3 linked regions of the Arabidopsis thaliana genome follow. The protein of the gene in region 2 interacts with the protein of the main gene of each other region in a pairwise test. Each region holds a gene or a part of one and is shown on either strand. Other genes may lie near its edges.

Region 1 (4,321 bases), on a different chromosome or scaffold from region 2:
TGTTCAAGAGTCCGAACTCTGAGACCTATGTGATATTCGGTGAGGCTAAGATTGATGACATGAGCTCTCAGCTACAAGCACAAGCTGCTCAGAGGTTCAAGATGCCTGACGTTGCGTCTATGATCCCCAACACTGATGGTTCTGAAGCAGCCACGGTTGCACAAGAGGAGGAAGACGATGAAGATGTTGATGAGACTGGTGTTGAAGCCAAGGACATTGATCTTGTGATGACTCAAGCCGGTGTCTCGAGGCCCAAGGCTGTTAAGGCTCTTAAAGAGAGTAACGGAGATATTGTTTCCGCCATTATGGAACTCACTACATAGGTTTTAGTGAGTTGCAAAAGACTTGTGATGGTTCGTCTTTGTTGCTTCATTTCTGATTCGGTTAGCAATTTTCTCGAACATCTCTGTTTCTCCACTTTTTTGAGGCTATTTCTTTTTACCTTTCTCTGAGCCATAAACAATGTTGCTTCACATCTATAATTTGAGACGTTTATGTCTAGTGTTGTTAACTCTTTAGCAAGAAAGATTGATGAGTAATCTCTTTACATATATTCATTGAAATGTAGCTTCAAAATACAAATTTGGTTCAAGAAACAAAGCTAGATTTGTGTATAAAGTATTTCAAGTTTCTACAACACAAAATACAGATTCAAGTCTTTGTCTAGAATTGACATGAGTGTCCCTCTTTTCGACCTACACATACATTTGCTAGCAAAACTTCTCTAGCTAGTAACACCGCCTCGATTCAGCCGCTTGAATTTCTACACGCTAACCTGCAAAATCGAAAGCAAACGCTCAATAGGACCTCATAGAAAGAGAAATCAATCTTTGACATTGTTGCTATGAAGTAAAAAAGTTAGGATGATCTGATGTCACCTTATATAACTCTTCACTAATTGCTCAAGATCTTGCTTTTGAAAGAAATGTTTCATGTTCCATCAACGATCTCTCTGCCTTAGCCTTGAGCCATAAGCTTTTATAAAAACACACCTCTGGGTTGATTTGCTCTTCTGTTTGATGATGATTTCTTATAACCTGCACATTGTGATAACGATGGTCTACAGGCTTTAAAACCGAACAAGAATGCTTCGATGATCCTTAAAAGTAGTCAAGAGAACATACCTTACGCATATTAGGCAACGAATATAAATCACATGAACTATGTACAGCACTTGCATAATCCCCACTATGCTCCTGAACTCTGTTATTGATATAGGAGTTGAGATTCTGCACAGTACAGTTGATGAGATCAAGATACTGCTCATTTGGTAAATCCGAAGTTTCTGAACTGTGTACATGTGTTAGCAACTCTGACAATCCATGAATCGTCGTAAGTAGTTTCTTAACATCCACTTTTTGAGATGGTGATGATGTGGAACAGCCATGTCTATCACCAAAGTCATTTGCAGCTTGGTTTACCTCACAGCCATATACATTTTGTTTATGATCTGCTAGTGAGAACCGAGGAGCCAGAGGATTTAGCTTCTTCCGACCATGAGACTTGTTGCTGGACCTATCCAATCTTGTATTAGAGTATCTATTCCTTAAACTGCGGTCGACCACTAAAGAATGTGTCCCAACAACCTTAAAAGTATTAAGCAACATACTGTCTGAAGAACTTACACCAGAAGTTGAGCCAACATTTGTCTCCATAGTTAACATGTGATCTGCTGCACCGTGCTTCTCACTTAGTTTTGCACAAGCAGGAACAAAAACAGGAGCTAACGGATCCAGCTTTTTAGACTTTTGGAACTCGTTGCTAATATCTAACATACTCATAGTGTTGGAAACACTATCTTGAGATACTAAACCCAAACTCTCATCTGCATCATGGATCAGGACGCCTATTCTAGTGTTTTGGTTGGAACTGTTTACTTCAATTTCTCTCCCATTCTTGTTTAGGTTCTTCTTAGCATTGAATGGTAGAAACTGAGGTGCCAAAGGATTCAATTCTTTCCCTACACAAGTCCAAATAAATCATTCACAAGTGTCATAGAAGAGCACATTACAGTAAATTCTCTCCTAAGGGATTCAAGAAACTCTTACACAACACATAACAAGAACAAAACCATAACATTTCAAGAAAGACAAAAAAAAAAAAAAACCTTTAGGAACAGTGGTCGCATCATTATCATCATTGGGACTAATCTTGTGGTCTTCGGATGTTAAGAATGAGAAATCGAAAGTGAAATCACTCCATAAAGAATCTTCAGGATCAGATTCAGAAGCAACGAAAGAAGAAGATAAGGAAGAAGAACTTATAGGAAAAGGAGATAGACTACTACGATCACATTGCTTCATGTTTTCTTCTCTATGGATTCGAAATTTTGTTTGTGGATAGAAAGAAAGAAGGGAAGGGATTTTGCAGAGACGACGAGCTTCATCAACCTTGTCCTACCCTTTTCACTGTGCTATCTGTGATTAGTGATTACCAATGTTTTCTAAACCAAACTCCGACAGTAAACCGGACTACATTTCGGTTCAACCGGATTCGACCATTGCTTGATTGATTATAATTTATTTAATGTAACTTATGTAGTTTTATAAAAGTAAAACTAATTATACCATATTTAACAAAAATATAAAATCATTTCTTTTTGTTCAAACTAAAATATTAAGTTTAACAATATTACAATAATAATGAAGTGATTATTTATTTTTTACTATAACCGAATAAAATAGTATAAAGATAATGATCGGTCACCAATGATAAAAATAAACTAATTAAACATCTTTAAGTCAATACAAATAATTTCTATCAAGCTGATGACTTACTTACTTTCTTTCAAGAAAATTGATTCAATAATTAGACTAACCCGAAAACGTTTTACTTTAAAAAGATATTGTACTCAAAATTAAAATTGAAAGTCTTCATAAAATGTTTCATGAGAGACCAAAAATTTCATATCTTACATAATATTATTGCAAAACACATTTGAGGGAACTAAAAATTCAGAAAATACAAATAAATAATTAACTTAAATGGAGATCAAACTCATTACACATCGAAAACGATATATAGAACAAAAACATATTAGTGTTGCACAAAAAAAAACATATTAAAAACTGAAAAACAACAACCATGAAATGACATTTGCAAAAGTGAATTAAAGATAAATATAAGCAATATGACATTTAACCACTATAAAATGACGTTTCTAATACAAGTAGGGAACACTGGACTTCTCTTATTCTTTTATAGTATTACTAGTACAATATGATAATAATTACAGTTTACTTCTCCACAAGTTTTAAGTCATTACGTATGTAGTTTACATGAGACGGCATGCATTAACGTTATCGTCATTGAACATATTACTAACCCTGTCGTCTCCACGAGAACCTACGGGGATATTACCATGTTGTTCTGTACCATTGTAGCCATGTCTATAATAGTTATAGCTCTCTTTAAACTCTTTCGAAGGATCTACGAAATAGTTTTGAGTAGATGTGAAGTAAAGTGGAGGTTCAGGGTATGGCGAAAACTCAGCTCTCTTCCCCGCTCGCCTCACGGCTTTGAGTACTTTGTTTCTGTCAACATAACCCACCACTCTCACTCTTCCTAACTCTTTATCCACCTCCACTGAGTCAACTCCTAAAATTTAATCAAATTCATTACATCTAGTCTCTTTTTTCGTTCATTACACTAATCTTGTCTTTAAATTTTAAAGCAAAGCAATTAGTTGTTACCTCGGAGTTTGGAGATCGCGTTCCTAACGATCCTGACGCAACCAGTACAACACATTCTTACCTTCAGCTCAACCGTCTAGTAGTCCACGAGCCACGAATGTCAAACTCAAAAACTTTAGTTTTCTTATGAGAACTTTGGATATAAATAAAAAAAGTAGTATGGTATATACTATTATCAAAATGATCATTAGTAAATTATTAGCACTTTGAAAACTAGATGATTGTGTAGGAATTGACATTTAAATCGAGATAATTTAATCATGGCTAGTGTAAAAGGGAAGGTAGAGAAATATGTGGAAGGATTCCAAGTGTGGTTCGCATCGATATAACACCAAGGATATAAAACTTTATTCTATATGCTAAGAAAATTTTGCATTCACATGTATAAACGTTTATTTTTTCTTTGAATATAACTTAACACTAAATTCAAAAAAAATAAAATATAAACCAATCGGTTCTGCAAATATCAGCTTTTCAAATGTCATTAATTGGAAAGCTTGACTATTAATGGTATAGTCCATCAATGATTCGTTTATCAAAAGAATTTCGTTTGTTTTGCTAATCTTCTTATTCTTTTGTTTTTTGAATATTATGTAAAATTATTCGGAAAAAAACTGTTTTACATCAAG
Region 2 (7,054 bases):
TCCATTATTTCATAAGCTCAAAGCCGGGTCACTGTGCGAACGGGCTTAAGCTTTGAGTAGTGGTTTCACCAATACTCAGTGTTCCAAAGTTGTCACAAGGTGGTAAGTGGTAACACACTTTCAGACCCCATCATCAAAAGCATAATGCTACCTTGGTCCTTGGTTTTCGATTTGGTTTGAGATCCAATGAAGGAGTTTGTCTACTAATTTACGTACTAGTTTAGTACCTTGTCTCTTTTCTTTCATTGTTAATTTGTTTAGAATATTTTTAGTTCTTATTGTCACTAATGTACATAATTAATTCAATAGAGACGAATATTTTCTTCTTAGTTTATAATTTACTTTGATCATCATCATCATATGTCTCCATGAGGCATTAACTTGACCTTTTTTTATAATCAATTTAGCGGATACTAATAATAGTAAATGATATTAACGTTAGTTTACCTATTCAACTAAAAGACAGAAGAGATTCTTGTTTTAGCAAAGTGAACAGAGTTTCAGACAGCATTTTAGATGTGTTCAGAAGAGGCTAGCTTGAAGTTATCATCTCCCTTGTGTTTTATGTAATGGAACCTCCCATGGAGGAGCATTCTAAATTAGCATCAACTTCATCATTCTCCATAGTTACAATAAAGCATGCTTTACAAAAGGATTGTGAAAGTATCGCTTTAATGTTTTGTGGGAGAACTTTCTAAGCTTGGCTTGAACTTACTCTATTTTATGTACCCAATACAAAGAAACGAGTAAGAAAAAAGATGCATAAAATATCATCATGGCACTGCTTCCAGTTTTTCCCACAACCTGAAAGCTCTTCTGATGACTGGATCAGCTGAAAATCCTTCTGCGTAATCCGCAATCGCGATTAACAGGCTACTCAATTTCTCACCATTGTCCTGTACATTTCACAAATTATCCTCTGTTACTAATCTTTCTGTTTTCAGTTAGTCTATTGTAGTAGATGTATATCGTCATACAAATACAAACCTCTGGTTTCTTAAAAGTAAGATCTTTCGTGTCGAACGGTACTATGTAATCTGGGAGATCAGACCGTAACAGTGCCTGCCATTAACACAATTCATCATCCCTACCTTGTGAACTTAACAACTGAATAAATGAATGAAAGTATGAAAGAAAAACAGGAAAACCTACCAATTTCTTGCTAAGAATGGCTTGATCCGCACTAGCTATTAGAGACTGTTGCAAAGACAAGGAAGATTATAATATTAGGCCTTGCATATCACAGAAGCACTAGCTTGCCTAACCTCTGCAACACTTGTTCACTCACCTCCTTTATTTTTCCTTCTTTGATCTCATCCACAGACTGCAACAGATTCTCCAACGTGCCTGATAATGCAATAAAAGTGAGTAATAGGAAACATGGGGCGCAAATCAATGAAATCAAAGAATATAGCATGACTCAGTGAATACCAAATCTAGATATCAGTTCCACTGCGTGCACATTCCCAATACCATCAACTCCTGCATCACACAAACATCATTAGATCACTTTAGCCCTTTCCTGTGTGCACTTTGGCTAAACGTTTGTATGTAGATTGTGCACTTTTGCTCAACTTTTCTGTGATACACAAAATGCGGCTATGAAAGGAATATCCCCAGAAATTAACAATTTCGTGAGGGGTAGAGGAAGTGGGCTTAACCTGGAATATTATCAGACTTGTCTCCAGCAAGGGCGATGATATCAACAAATTGTGCTGGTTCCAAATTTCCAAACTTTTTAGCAAAATCTTCCATTCCAAAAGAAGCCATCCTGCCACAAGAAGCAGTAGCCTTGACACAACTGAGTGGAAAAAACATACAGGATACAAAGAGCAACTATGGTTTCATAATACGCAAAATTCTACAATGAGGCAATTATCCATCTAACATGAATTTCATACTCTGATCCGCGTGGTGTTAGTCGAAGAAGACGCAACGAGGGAGAAAGAATCTGAAAGAAGTCTTTGTCTGGAGAGACAACTCGGACCTGTAAAGGGGTAACAAACAAATGATCAGTCCACTTCTAGGAAAAGGACAAATTGAACAGACCCTGAGCATTCAATAAGTAGTGAACACTTCTCGAATAGCTGAAAATGAGTACTTTGAAACCGGCACTAATGCTTCGCATAGCCAGTGTTCCAATAACATCATCAGCTTCTACACCTGGCACCTGTCTTCATGGAATGTCTGCCCATTAGTGAGAAATCATCACAATGAAAGGAAATATGGCAATCATGTGCATGATTTACCTCTATAACTTTTATAGACATTGCCTTGATGGACGCTTTGAGATATTGAAGTCCTTGTACTATGGTATCAGGTGTGGGAGGACGATTACTTTTATATGCTGGGTAGAGAGTATGACGGAAGTTCATGCCTGTAAAAATTTAAACATGAACAAAGATAGGTTTGATACTGATGCATAAAAATAATCCTTCACACTCTGCGCAAAGACAAGGGAGAATCATGTCGAGGTTTAGAGTGCCAAAAAGCCTAAAATTTACAGTTTGAGCAGCCAAGTGAACCCATCACGTAGAAAGAAGAGAGTATTGGATATGCATATCTATGTCAGTATGTACAGAACGGAAACAACAAAAGACATCAAGCATACTGGACCTACGTTCATCATTGGATATGACCTAAGTTTATTTTACAAATAGCCAAAGACCGCCATGGAAGCGCATATGACCGACCCTCTGTTATCTACACCAAAGTTTATGACTGCCCAAAAGCGGCAAGCAAAACACCCAAAGGAAGACAAAGTTGGCATTTCACTTCAAATATCATCCTTGGCAAGTAAGCCATAATTTCCGGAATAATTTCTCCTAGGCACACAGCAGAAAATCAGTTCAAACTGCAAGTTTATATATTTAGAAGCAATATACTGAAGGCTTGTATAGCAATTGGAGATCATCGGCGATGATATTACATACATCACCATCGAGTCAGCATACTAACTAAACTCTCATGCAAAAATGACCACTTCTTATACTGTCAATTAAATTACTTTAGTTTGACTAAGGACATGGAGCTTACCTTTTGCAGAACGATAACCTGTAGATGAATTAGAAGTAGTGCCATAAGGAACTCCTGAAAAAGGCTCTATTTTGTTAAAAAAGAGTAACTAGAGACGTATAGGTCCAGAAAGCATTTAATCTTCTTGCCTCACATATGACATAACCATGATTACTACATGATATTTGTCAGATTACCACTATTATGCATTACTAGAAGCTTTTCTAGATAACTTAGTGGAATATTCCATAAATAGTACAGTAATGATTATCAAGATTAAGTAATCAATTTTGGTCAATATATCACCATCTAGATCTCCACCTGCTTACTCTTAGGCCTATCGAATAAATGTTCTCAGTAGTGGCCAGAAGTTGAAATCTGAAACTTTTATCCATTCACTATGATACAAATGAAGTTGAAAACATCAACACTCAACATAATCTAAGTTTTCGGGCAACAACATTCAACAAGCTGAAGACAATTATTTATCTATTCATCTGAAAGAGGATGATGAAAATCAAAATTATAGATGACTAGAGGAGCAATTAGCATCAATTGATAAGGGGAAATCATACACATACTTGAGTAATTAAAATCAGGAAGTATAGAGGCCATAACTATAGAGTTTGAAATAAGGGCTTATATCAATGAATTAGTTTAAATCATCTGAGAGGCACACTCAAAGTGGTTAACTATAGACACTAAAAGTCCCCAAAAACCTGAATTCTTCCTACATCACCACATGAAGTAGATAGACGTCCATGAATTTAACCAATTATAGAAGACTATTACATTAGGACTCACCATCATGGTCGAACACCACCTGCATGGACACAGTTAATTAAGTCAGTAGGGGCTATCCAACATTAAGAAAACTACAAGAACTTCATTCGATCATCACAGATATAAAGAAATGCGATGTTAAATGGATAATGGAATTTACCGCCACATGGGATGGGAGAAATTTCAAAACATCAATCAGCTGAAAATGAGAACACAATGAAACAAGGTAAGAAGTCGAATGCGAAAGTTATAACAAGAAAGATAAACTTTAGCCTTAAGGAAACATAATTATACGCAACCATGATTACTTGGTCAGCCATCGTTAATGCTACAAGAAGCTTTTCTCAACCATCAGATTTAAGTACAGTAAAAATGAACATCTGGAGAACAATACTCAAGATATCACTTACAAGAGAAAGAGATGAAAATATTGTTAAAACCCAGTCCGCATTTCCATCAGCATGAGCCAGATGACCATGATTCAACCTTGCTGCACATGCCCAATCAAATGTCAATAAGTGTGAGATCGGGAGGAAAAAAAATTAACATTTGATGTACACATGAGTAGCAGAATTACCTAAAAGCTTATAATAAGCCCTGTATATAATCGATGTCCCATCAATAAGCATCACTCTGCCATTTGAAGAAGCAGCAGTACTAGCTACTCTTTCTTCTGACTTGAAAGGATATTTTATCGACTGTGGCGTAACATCTTCACTTATAGAAGTCAATGTGCTGCCACTAGCTGCTTCATTTGAGAATTCAGAAACAGCTACGGAACTGCAATAGTACTGTGTACCACAAATGTTTATATCAACATTAGAACGAAATAATAAGTATCCTTCAGAGATCAATTTTGAGTTTATAGTAAACAGAAATGTCGCGAAAGAAACATTCAATTGATTCAGAAAATCTGTATATCAAACTAATCAGAGCCATGATTCAGATGTAGACTACATAACAAGAGTAAAAACCACATCTAAATAGCTCAGAATTGAACGATACAAGTACAAGTATCACCTTCGCAGAGCGTGCAAGGGAAGGAGAGATGAGAGAACAGTTCCGATTACACAAGTTTCCAACACTCCGAGGAAAACAGAGATTCCTCCATAGAAAACGGGAGTGATGATACAGATGCAGCGTCATGACGTCACTGAAAGTACTGTCATGAAGAAGAAGAGCGTTTAACCTTAGCGGAGGAAACACATTCACCATGAATCAAAACCAAAAATCGAAGAAGCGAGCGAGAATCCGAAAGCAATCGAAGAAAGGATTTTGAAAGAACCTTCCAAAAATGAGAAAGGGTTTTTACAAGGACGACGAAGAAGGAGGATTTTACCGCTTTCTGCGTATCCGTGTCTTCCTCGGAACAAAATCTTCTGCCTCCCAAAAATTTAGCAGAGTTGAATTTAGAAAACTCCAAATTGGGCCCAATAATTAATCAGCCCATATAAATAAAGGCCTTAAGAGCCCATTATATAGGCTTTTGATTGTTGTTCTTCTTCTTCTTCTATTACAACAAAAACCCTTCGACAGAAGAGAAAACCCTAGCTAGAAACGACGATCCAAAGATGACGCAGAAGAGCAATCAGTTCAAGGGCCAACAGAAGAGGAAGACTATTGCTCCTAATCGCCATGGCAAATCCATTCAAACTCGCAAAGGTATTCACTTTTTTTTTACTTCACACAAATCCCTTTCGATTTTGATTTCTCAGATTTTATCATCTTCTTGTTCCAGGGAAGAGAAATGTGAAACCAACAAAGATGACGAAAGAGATGGACACTGATCGGGTAATTTCTATATTCTTCAATCTCCCTAAATTCTGAATCGATTGGATCTTTAATTGTGAGTTATTGGTTGGTGTTGTGTGGAGCAGGAGCTTACGAAATTCATAAACCATTGCAATGAAGTGAAAGCAACTAATGCAGCTTGTAAAGAAGGTGGTCAACTCAATATCATCAAAGCTGAATCTCAACCTGAGCCATCCAAGAAATCCGCCAAATAGACAACAAACCCTTCTTTTTTTGTTTCCAGTGTTTCAACTTTTGTAGCTCTTACACAATCCAATCGGTTTTGTCTTTAAATCAATCATTTATAATGCTATTGTTACCAATTTCGTCACTTACAAACAAGTTTATTGTTACTTTACGAGAGATTGAACTTCCATACACTTATGCATTTACCATTGTGAGCCGTTACCATCTTCTTCATCCCCATTGCTATGCAACTGATTTGAGGCCGAACTTTCCTTTCGATTTTATCAATCTCCATGTCTTGAGAAACTCTTTTTCCTCTTCTTTTCTCTATCACCACTTGGTTGTTCCTTGTTGATGTTGTGGAGAATTTATCGTCCATTATAACTCTAGATAAAACCCTTCCACTCTTCTGATCAATCATACGCAGCACACCGTCTATTCCACCAGCTACCATAACCGATGTGTCATTCCTTAGCTGTTGTATTGAGTACACGACATTAGGACTCACTCGTTTTTCCCACAATCTATCCATTTTCCTGTTAGATAATAGTTGGTTATAACGTCTTAAGATAGTGAATTAAAACTTGCATCTTTGAAAAAAACCTTAGACGACTATTTTAACATACCTGAGGTCCCAGCATGAAACATATCCACCAGTTGTTCCAATGAAGGCGAGATTAGTGCCTTGGTTAAAACAGATTGTCTGTATACCTGTAGAGAATGGAGGTTGCTTTAAGAAATGTCACTGGAGATGCAATCTGACATTGAGTTTGAGTTTACCTCCTGCAGTTATCGTGGATTTAAGAGTGGCCACTGGTTGATCCATCAAAGGGTCAGATACTGTTACTCTCCCGAGTGACGACCCACTAAGAAATAGTTGATTATCGCTTAGAGATAAGCATGTTATTGGCCCACCCTGAGTCCTGCAATTACATACATAGTTATTAACCAATCTGATAGGAAAATTGTGATTTAGCTTTCTCAAAAGAAATTGTAAACAATTTTGATAATGAAAAACCGTTCTTTTCCAGTTTCACTGTGTTGTTCCATAACACAACAGACACATAATACATAGCTTACCTAATGATCTGTGAACATGTCTTACTGTACATATCAAATACACGAGCTGTTCCATCCTCGCATCCAACTACAGCTTCTGGGTCAATGTAACTGGTTGAAAAAGAAAACATACAACTTATCAGTGTGGATAGAGAAGCCAACAACCTTACAGGGGCAGAGGGGCTAGGTAGCCATGTTGAAGTATCACACCGACTTTTGT
Region 3 (5,601 bases), on a different chromosome or scaffold from region 2:
CATCTTGCATCGAATTGGATTCTTGAAAGCTTCGTCAGACGAAGCTCTTTTCATGGATGTTGAACAAATGAAGCACTTGTGTTGTGTGGTGGTGACTAATGGTGAAAAAGGGTGTAGGATTTATCATAAGGATGATGAAATGACGGTTCCTCCGTTCTTGGCGAAGCAGGTGGATCCTACCGGTGCCGGAGACAGCTTTCTCGGAGGTTTGATTGTTGGGCTTGTTGAAGGTTTGACTGTTCCTGATGCTGCATTGTTAGGGAACCTCTTTGGTTCCATCACTGTAGAGCATATTGGTCAGCCAAAGTTCGATTTGATGATGCTTCAGGTTTGTTTTTTGGTCTCGTATTAGCTTACTGAATTGCATGCTGTGAGAGATTTGCAAATCTAATAGACAGTAGTAAGAACTTTTAGAGCCGATGATAGTGATATGCAAATGTCTTTAACATAATCCTAGCAAAAGAACTCTGTTACATCTTGCAGCTTACTTTCAATACAGCCAAACCTATATCTTGCGGGTGAACTAGAATCTGTATTTGATGTTGATAGGTTTCCAATCTGAAAATGTGTCAAATCTTCACAGTTGTTGTTTGAGATTCTGTCGAGTCACAGCTGCTGAGAGAGTCTTTTCTTGTTTTACTTCATTGTTAATCTAGGAGCAGTTTCATTCAACATAGGGTAGATGCAGGAAAAAGTGTTGTTTAAGCATTCACCGAACAATGTGGTTAAGCAATTAGAGAATTCAAAAGTATGGATCTCTTGATGTATTTGCGAGTGTTTCTGTGTATCTCTTGTAGTTGTATCTGTTGAAATGAGGGCGTTATTGGATAATAATTGAACCATTGGCTAGTGCAAGTGAACATTAAGCAAATTAGAAGATTTATAGCGTTTGTGTTTGCACTGCACAAGGATTCATCCCTTTCATCGGTTATTTCTATGTGACATATGTCTTTGTGATTTGCAGAAAGTCAAGGATGAGGTACAGAGAAGGAAGAAGCAGTGTAACATATCTAGCAGCCATAACAACGATCACAACGAGTTCCATGAGCGTCTAAGTCCAGCTCGGTTTTCATGCGTAGACTCTCAACTTCAACCAAAGTTATTGGTCAATGGTCACTCTTGTGATGATCGGTCCCTGTGAATACGAATCTTGAATCACCTTTTTTTTACTAACAAAGCTCTTCTGAGTTGTGTAAGCTTGCTTCAACACGTTGATGAATTTTGGAAATTTTAATGTATAAAACGCGTTGACCAGCGTCTTCAAACGCTCTTTCTGGTCGTTCCCGCAAAGTTTGTTTATCAACTCCGCGTTTCAAAATTCGAAATGAAGATGTCAAATTTTGTTTTAAAAGTTTTGGATAAGATGATTTGCTATTCGCATGTTGCCACATTATCTAGTTAATATAAAAACCAAAAACAAATCTGAGATAAAATTACGAAAGTCAACGTGGGAGATCTAATTTTGACTGGTGCATAGTTGAACCGGTTCAATATATGTACAATCAGGAGGAAACCGTGTTCGGTGTTTGATTCGTGCGCGTGGATTTAAAACGTGGTCACGATCAGGCGCGTGGATTGACGTGGCGATTCCGATTCCCAATCAAAAGTCTGGACGAGCAAAAAATTTCCTCTGATATTGGCATCTCCATTACTAACTCCTGATTTACGGTTAAAACGCCTCTTCCCTCTCTCCGACGCTTCTCGTCGGAAATCTGGGTTTAAGTTTCTTCTGCAGATCGGAAGAGATTCTATTGAAGCGGCGTTGACACGATTTCATCTATAATTGTACGATAATGAAGCAGAAGAACCAGCATAAGAAGAAGAAGAAGCGATCCTGCGCCGCGAAACCTTCCGGTGATGGAACGACGTCGGACGGGAACAAAAAAGATGTGGAGGAAGAGAGGAAGGACGGTGAAGGAAAGAGGGAGATAGAAAACGTTGGAAAAAATTTTATCGAATCGTTAATGGAAGCCTTTTGCTCGGTTTCAATGGAGGAAGCGATGGCTGCTTATAAGGAAGCAGGCGGAGATCTGAACAAAGCCGCTGAGATTTTATCGGATCTGGTGGAAAGCGGTGATGATCCGTCGACGAGTTCGGTGGCGAGTGGTTCTTCGGGTCAGGAAACAGCGTCTACCTCTGAGTATGGGGCAGGGTCAAGTTCTAGCTGTAGCGAAGATTTGACTAGAGATAGATGGTTTAAGGGAAGCAAGCAGAGTAGAGTTATTGCTGCTACAGGGATGGTTTCTTCTGTGATTGCGAAGGATTACTTGAAGCCAAACCCTGTGCGAAAAGAGTTTCCTATGATGGAACGGTCTAAAGAGCTCTGTGGGAACGGGAAAAAAGCTGCGGATAGAGAGAAAGCTGAACAGTTCTTAAGTTCAATGCTTGGAGATGATTGCGAGCTTAGCATGGCTGTTGTTAGAGATGTTTTGTGTGAGTATTTCTTCTTCTTAGTCAGTTAATTTTTCCATGGGAGAAGATGTTAGTAGAAAAGTATGATCCTTAATAGTTATAGGATTACGTTTTAATGTGTCCGCGATATTCGAAATATAGCCGTAATAATGTTATGAGGAGAGACTAGATTGTTCGATGAATTGACATGGAAGTATCTATTTTTTGTAGGTCAATGTGGCTATGATGTCGACATGGTAAGCAGAGATTGTCTTCAAACTTACATGGGGAAGTATTTAGTATATTGACAGGGAAGCTCCTGAAATATGCTGATACTTGCCCGACTATTTATTTTAAAGCTTAATAGCGTTTTCTTCTTAGGCTTTGAATGTCTTGCTTGACATGTCTTCTTCATCAACTGATGATTCATTGAGTGGTAAATGTTTCGGCATAGGAGTCAGCGATAGTGTAAGTGATTGTTTTTTTTGTTAATCTTCATAGATCTGTTTATTTTGTTTTCTTACACGATAAAATAAAGTGCAATCTCCTGACATTATTTAACAGCTGGCAGAGTCATCTTTTGATACTGATACTTCTGATTGTGAACTTTTCTGGGGTGGAGACTATAGTCAAAGGTACTTCTATTTGCTTCTTAGGCTTTCATCTTGTTATTGCAATTCACTGATTTTGGAATTATCAGAGTTGATTTACACGTTAGTTACAAGATAACGAGCTCTCTGCAACCTCTCCTTATCTTTTAATTAGTCCTTATCCTCTTCTATGAAAGAACAACAAACGAACTATTTCATGGTGGAGGATTCAGTTCATGAACACATGATATCTAAATTACTCATGAGACCGCCAAAACTTACATTATGATTTCTTAATTTCAACATTGTGGACGAGGTCAAAACTAAATATCTGGCCTTTTTTTCTTTTCTTTGTCTGAATGGTAGGGACTACGCAAAAGCTCTCATGAGTTCTCAAGATCCTTTTGCAACTACCCAAGGAATTGATGAGCTTGGTCTTCCACAAAAAGTGTTGGAGTCTCTGTTCAACATTCGCCAGAATCCTAAACATGAATCAAAGACAACGAGTTGGAGGAATGTGGCAAAGAAAATGCAGTCACTTGGCATTGATGCTTCTTCATCTAGTGGGGAAGAGCCTCACCCTAATACGTTTGGTACTTTACTATGGTTTCTTGATTTTAGTATTTGCGTATATAGCTGCAAATAGCATGCTCAATTTGCCATGAGTTTGCCGGCTTCGAGCTTCTGATGTATGTTGTTTTACCTGATGAAACACTTGGCAATTTTTGCTTTGGTGTCATTGGCATAAACATCTGAAGTTTTGACTGCTTGTTTGTGTTGCAACTCTTGAATCAATCTTTCTTACTCATGAATTGCATTACCAATCAATCAGTACGTGTGTTGCAGTGAAGGATGACAGTTATCATGAACTTAGAAAAGGTGCAAATGACCAGTGGAATGTTACGAAGTCCTACTATCAAAAAGTTAGTTTTACTTGCTTCCATATATCTGGCTCTGGTAGACTCCTCAACTAATGCATTTATTAATTGGTTTAAGGCTGCCGAAGCATATTCGAAAGGAGGGAGGGCTCATGCGGCTTACCTTTCTGACAAGGTGCATATCACGGTTTACATATATCATGGTATCATGGCATTTTGTTTGACAGTATGACAGAAACTTGTGTTGTTTTTCTTTTAGGGAAGAGTGGCATCTAAACAAGCTCAACGGGCTGATGAGAGGGCAAGCCAAGATATATTCGTTGCAAGGTTAGCTGTTTTGATGCATTATCAAAGTATGCTGATGCGCTTAAACATTTTGTGGTGGACTAAGCCATTGTTTATGACTATGCAGAAACAAAGGTATAGAGAATGTGGTAACCATTGATCTGCATGGTCAGCATGTTAAACCAGCAATGAAGCTACTGAAGCTACATCTCTTATTTGGATCATATGTTCCTTGTGAGTACTTAGCAAACTCAATTATAAGTCTTTTCTTCTTTAGTAGATCATCATAGTCAGATCTTGTCATCATAAAACCCGAGATAATACCTTCCTCCTAACAATTGTGAAATCATCCAGCCATTCAGACTCTACGAGTGATCACAGGATGTGGAGCTTCTGGGTTTGGGAAGTCTAAGGTGAAACAATCAGTAAGTTTCTTCAACGCCCTTTCACAGCAAAACCGGAGACAAGAATTTAGTATTGCAGTCATGGTATATGATTGTTATTTATGGATATGATCAGGTGGTAAAGCTGCTAGAAAGAGAAGGAGTTAGGTATTGTGAAGAGAACAGAGGGACACTGCTGATCAAGCTTGACGGAGGTAGTAGAGAGTTCAGTTTCTTAGACACAGAGAGTGACTCTGATGAATAAGTGATAACTAAAACTAAAGTCAGGTTTTAGCTTTAGATCTTAAAATTTATGTCGATTTTGTCTATATCTGATGCTAGCTCTCTGTTGTTAAGTAAATGTTGGGCAAAACTTAGCTTCCTTCTTTTTCCTTTCCGTATTTCACGTTATTTAAGTTCTGAAAACACTTTGTCTGACACAGACAGAATGTATATTTTTCGCTAACTCTTCTTTAGGAGTTTACTGATATATATATTATCGTGTAACTTCTATAAATTCTACAAATGTTGACAATGCAAAACGGCATAAGTGCAGAATTTTTGCTACTGAAAGACATTTGTGTATAAAGTCAGACATAGCTCGAGCTAGAAAGCAGACGAAAGAAATAAAGCCGGTAGAATCTTTCATAAAGTAACCAAGACACTCGTTTTAACACAAAAGTCATCAAGCACACTAGAGCTCACATCAATGGATGATCAGATGGAGAAAACTAGAGTTGTTGAGTTACAGGGGAAGCTCACCACTGTCTACAATCACCACTTTACTCTTAGGAGTTCCACTCTGATTTCCTTCAGCTTCGACTTTGTACACCACATCCATTCCTGTCACTACCTTCCCGAATACCACATGTCGCCCATCCAACCTGCAAACTTTCTAATCAGCAGACGGAAACAACATATCGACAATTCTATCCATAATTGAAACTCTTAAGCTTAGAAAGTAGTAACCTGCCCACACAATTGTCAAACAACTTGAAAGTAAAAGATAAGAAACTGGCTTTATGTGTTTGAAATTCAGATGATTCTGTACTCACCAGCTGGTTGTTACAGTTG

What was found.
Region 1: the proteins of AT3G52050 (region 2) and AT4G10470 interact in a two-hybrid assay, tested with the Arabidopsis thaliana proteins (one large-scale study listed by BioGRID).
Region 3: the proteins of AT3G52050 (region 2) and AT5G58720 interact in a two-hybrid assay, tested with the Arabidopsis thaliana proteins (one large-scale study listed by BioGRID).

The regions. Positions count from the first base shown.
Region 1 is NC_003075.7:6,474,091-6,478,411, reverse strand, and holds AT4G10470 (uncharacterized protein), read right to left. Parts: upstream 2,429-4,321; 5' UTR 2,304-2,428; coding exon 2,108-2,303; intron 1,961-2,107; coding exon 1,125-1,960; intron 1,038-1,124; coding exon 903-1,037; 3' UTR 879-902; intron 776-878; 3' UTR 529-775; downstream 1-528. Other genes in the region: AT4G10480 (Nascent polypeptide-associated complex (NAC), alpha subunit family protein), read left to right, coding at 1-323; AT4G10465 (Heavy metal transport/detoxification superfamily protein), read right to left, coding at 3,275-3,597, 3,693-3,768.
Region 2 is NC_003074.8:19,303,118-19,310,171, reverse strand, and holds AT3G52050 (5'-3' exonuclease family protein), read right to left. Parts: upstream 5,287-7,054; 5' UTR 5,014-5,286; coding exon 4,819-5,013; intron 4,590-4,818; coding exon 4,376-4,589; intron 4,289-4,375; coding exon 4,209-4,288; intron 3,998-4,208; coding exon 3,959-3,997; intron 3,839-3,958; coding exon 3,820-3,838; intron 3,091-3,819; coding exon 3,037-3,090; intron 2,378-3,036; coding exon 2,250-2,377; intron 2,171-2,249; coding exon 2,102-2,170; intron 1,988-2,101; coding exon 1,902-1,987; intron 1,772-1,901; coding exon 1,662-1,771; intron 1,483-1,661; coding exon 1,432-1,482; intron 1,348-1,431; coding exon 1,289-1,347; coding exon of another isoform or gene 1,241-1,288; exon of another isoform or gene 1,198-1,240; coding exon 1,153-1,197; intron 1,063-1,152; coding exon 988-1,062; intron 897-987; coding exon 774-896; 3' UTR 521-773; downstream 1-520. Other genes in the region: AT3G52040 (2,3-bisphosphoglycerate-dependent phosphoglycerate mutase), read left to right, coding at 5,370-5,460, 5,537-5,589, 5,676-5,804; AT3G52030 (F-box family protein with WD40/YVTN repeat doamin), read right to left, coding at 5,945-6,311, 6,402-6,486, 6,556-6,698, 6,856-6,945.
Region 3 is NC_003076.8:23,719,167-23,724,767, reverse strand, and holds AT5G58720 (smr (Small MutS Related) domain-containing protein), read left to right. Parts: upstream 1-1,592; 5' UTR 1,593-1,793; coding exon 1,794-2,433; intron 2,434-2,622; coding exon 2,623-2,648; intron 2,649-2,772; coding exon 2,773-2,859; intron 2,860-2,955; coding exon 2,956-3,026; intron 3,027-3,347; coding exon 3,348-3,574; intron 3,575-3,827; coding exon 3,828-3,904; intron 3,905-3,977; coding exon 3,978-4,034; intron 4,035-4,118; coding exon 4,119-4,186; intron 4,187-4,271; coding exon 4,272-4,378; coding exon of another isoform or gene 4,379-4,434; exon of another isoform or gene 4,435-4,498; coding exon 4,499-4,569; coding exon of another isoform or gene 4,570-4,659; exon of another isoform or gene 4,660-4,663; coding exon 4,664-4,792; 3' UTR 4,793-5,073; downstream 5,074-5,601. Other genes in the region: Mik (pfkB-like carbohydrate kinase family protein), read left to right, coding at 1-328, 965-1,141; ROC7 (rotamase CYP 7), read right to left, coding at 5,273-5,411, 5,583-5,601.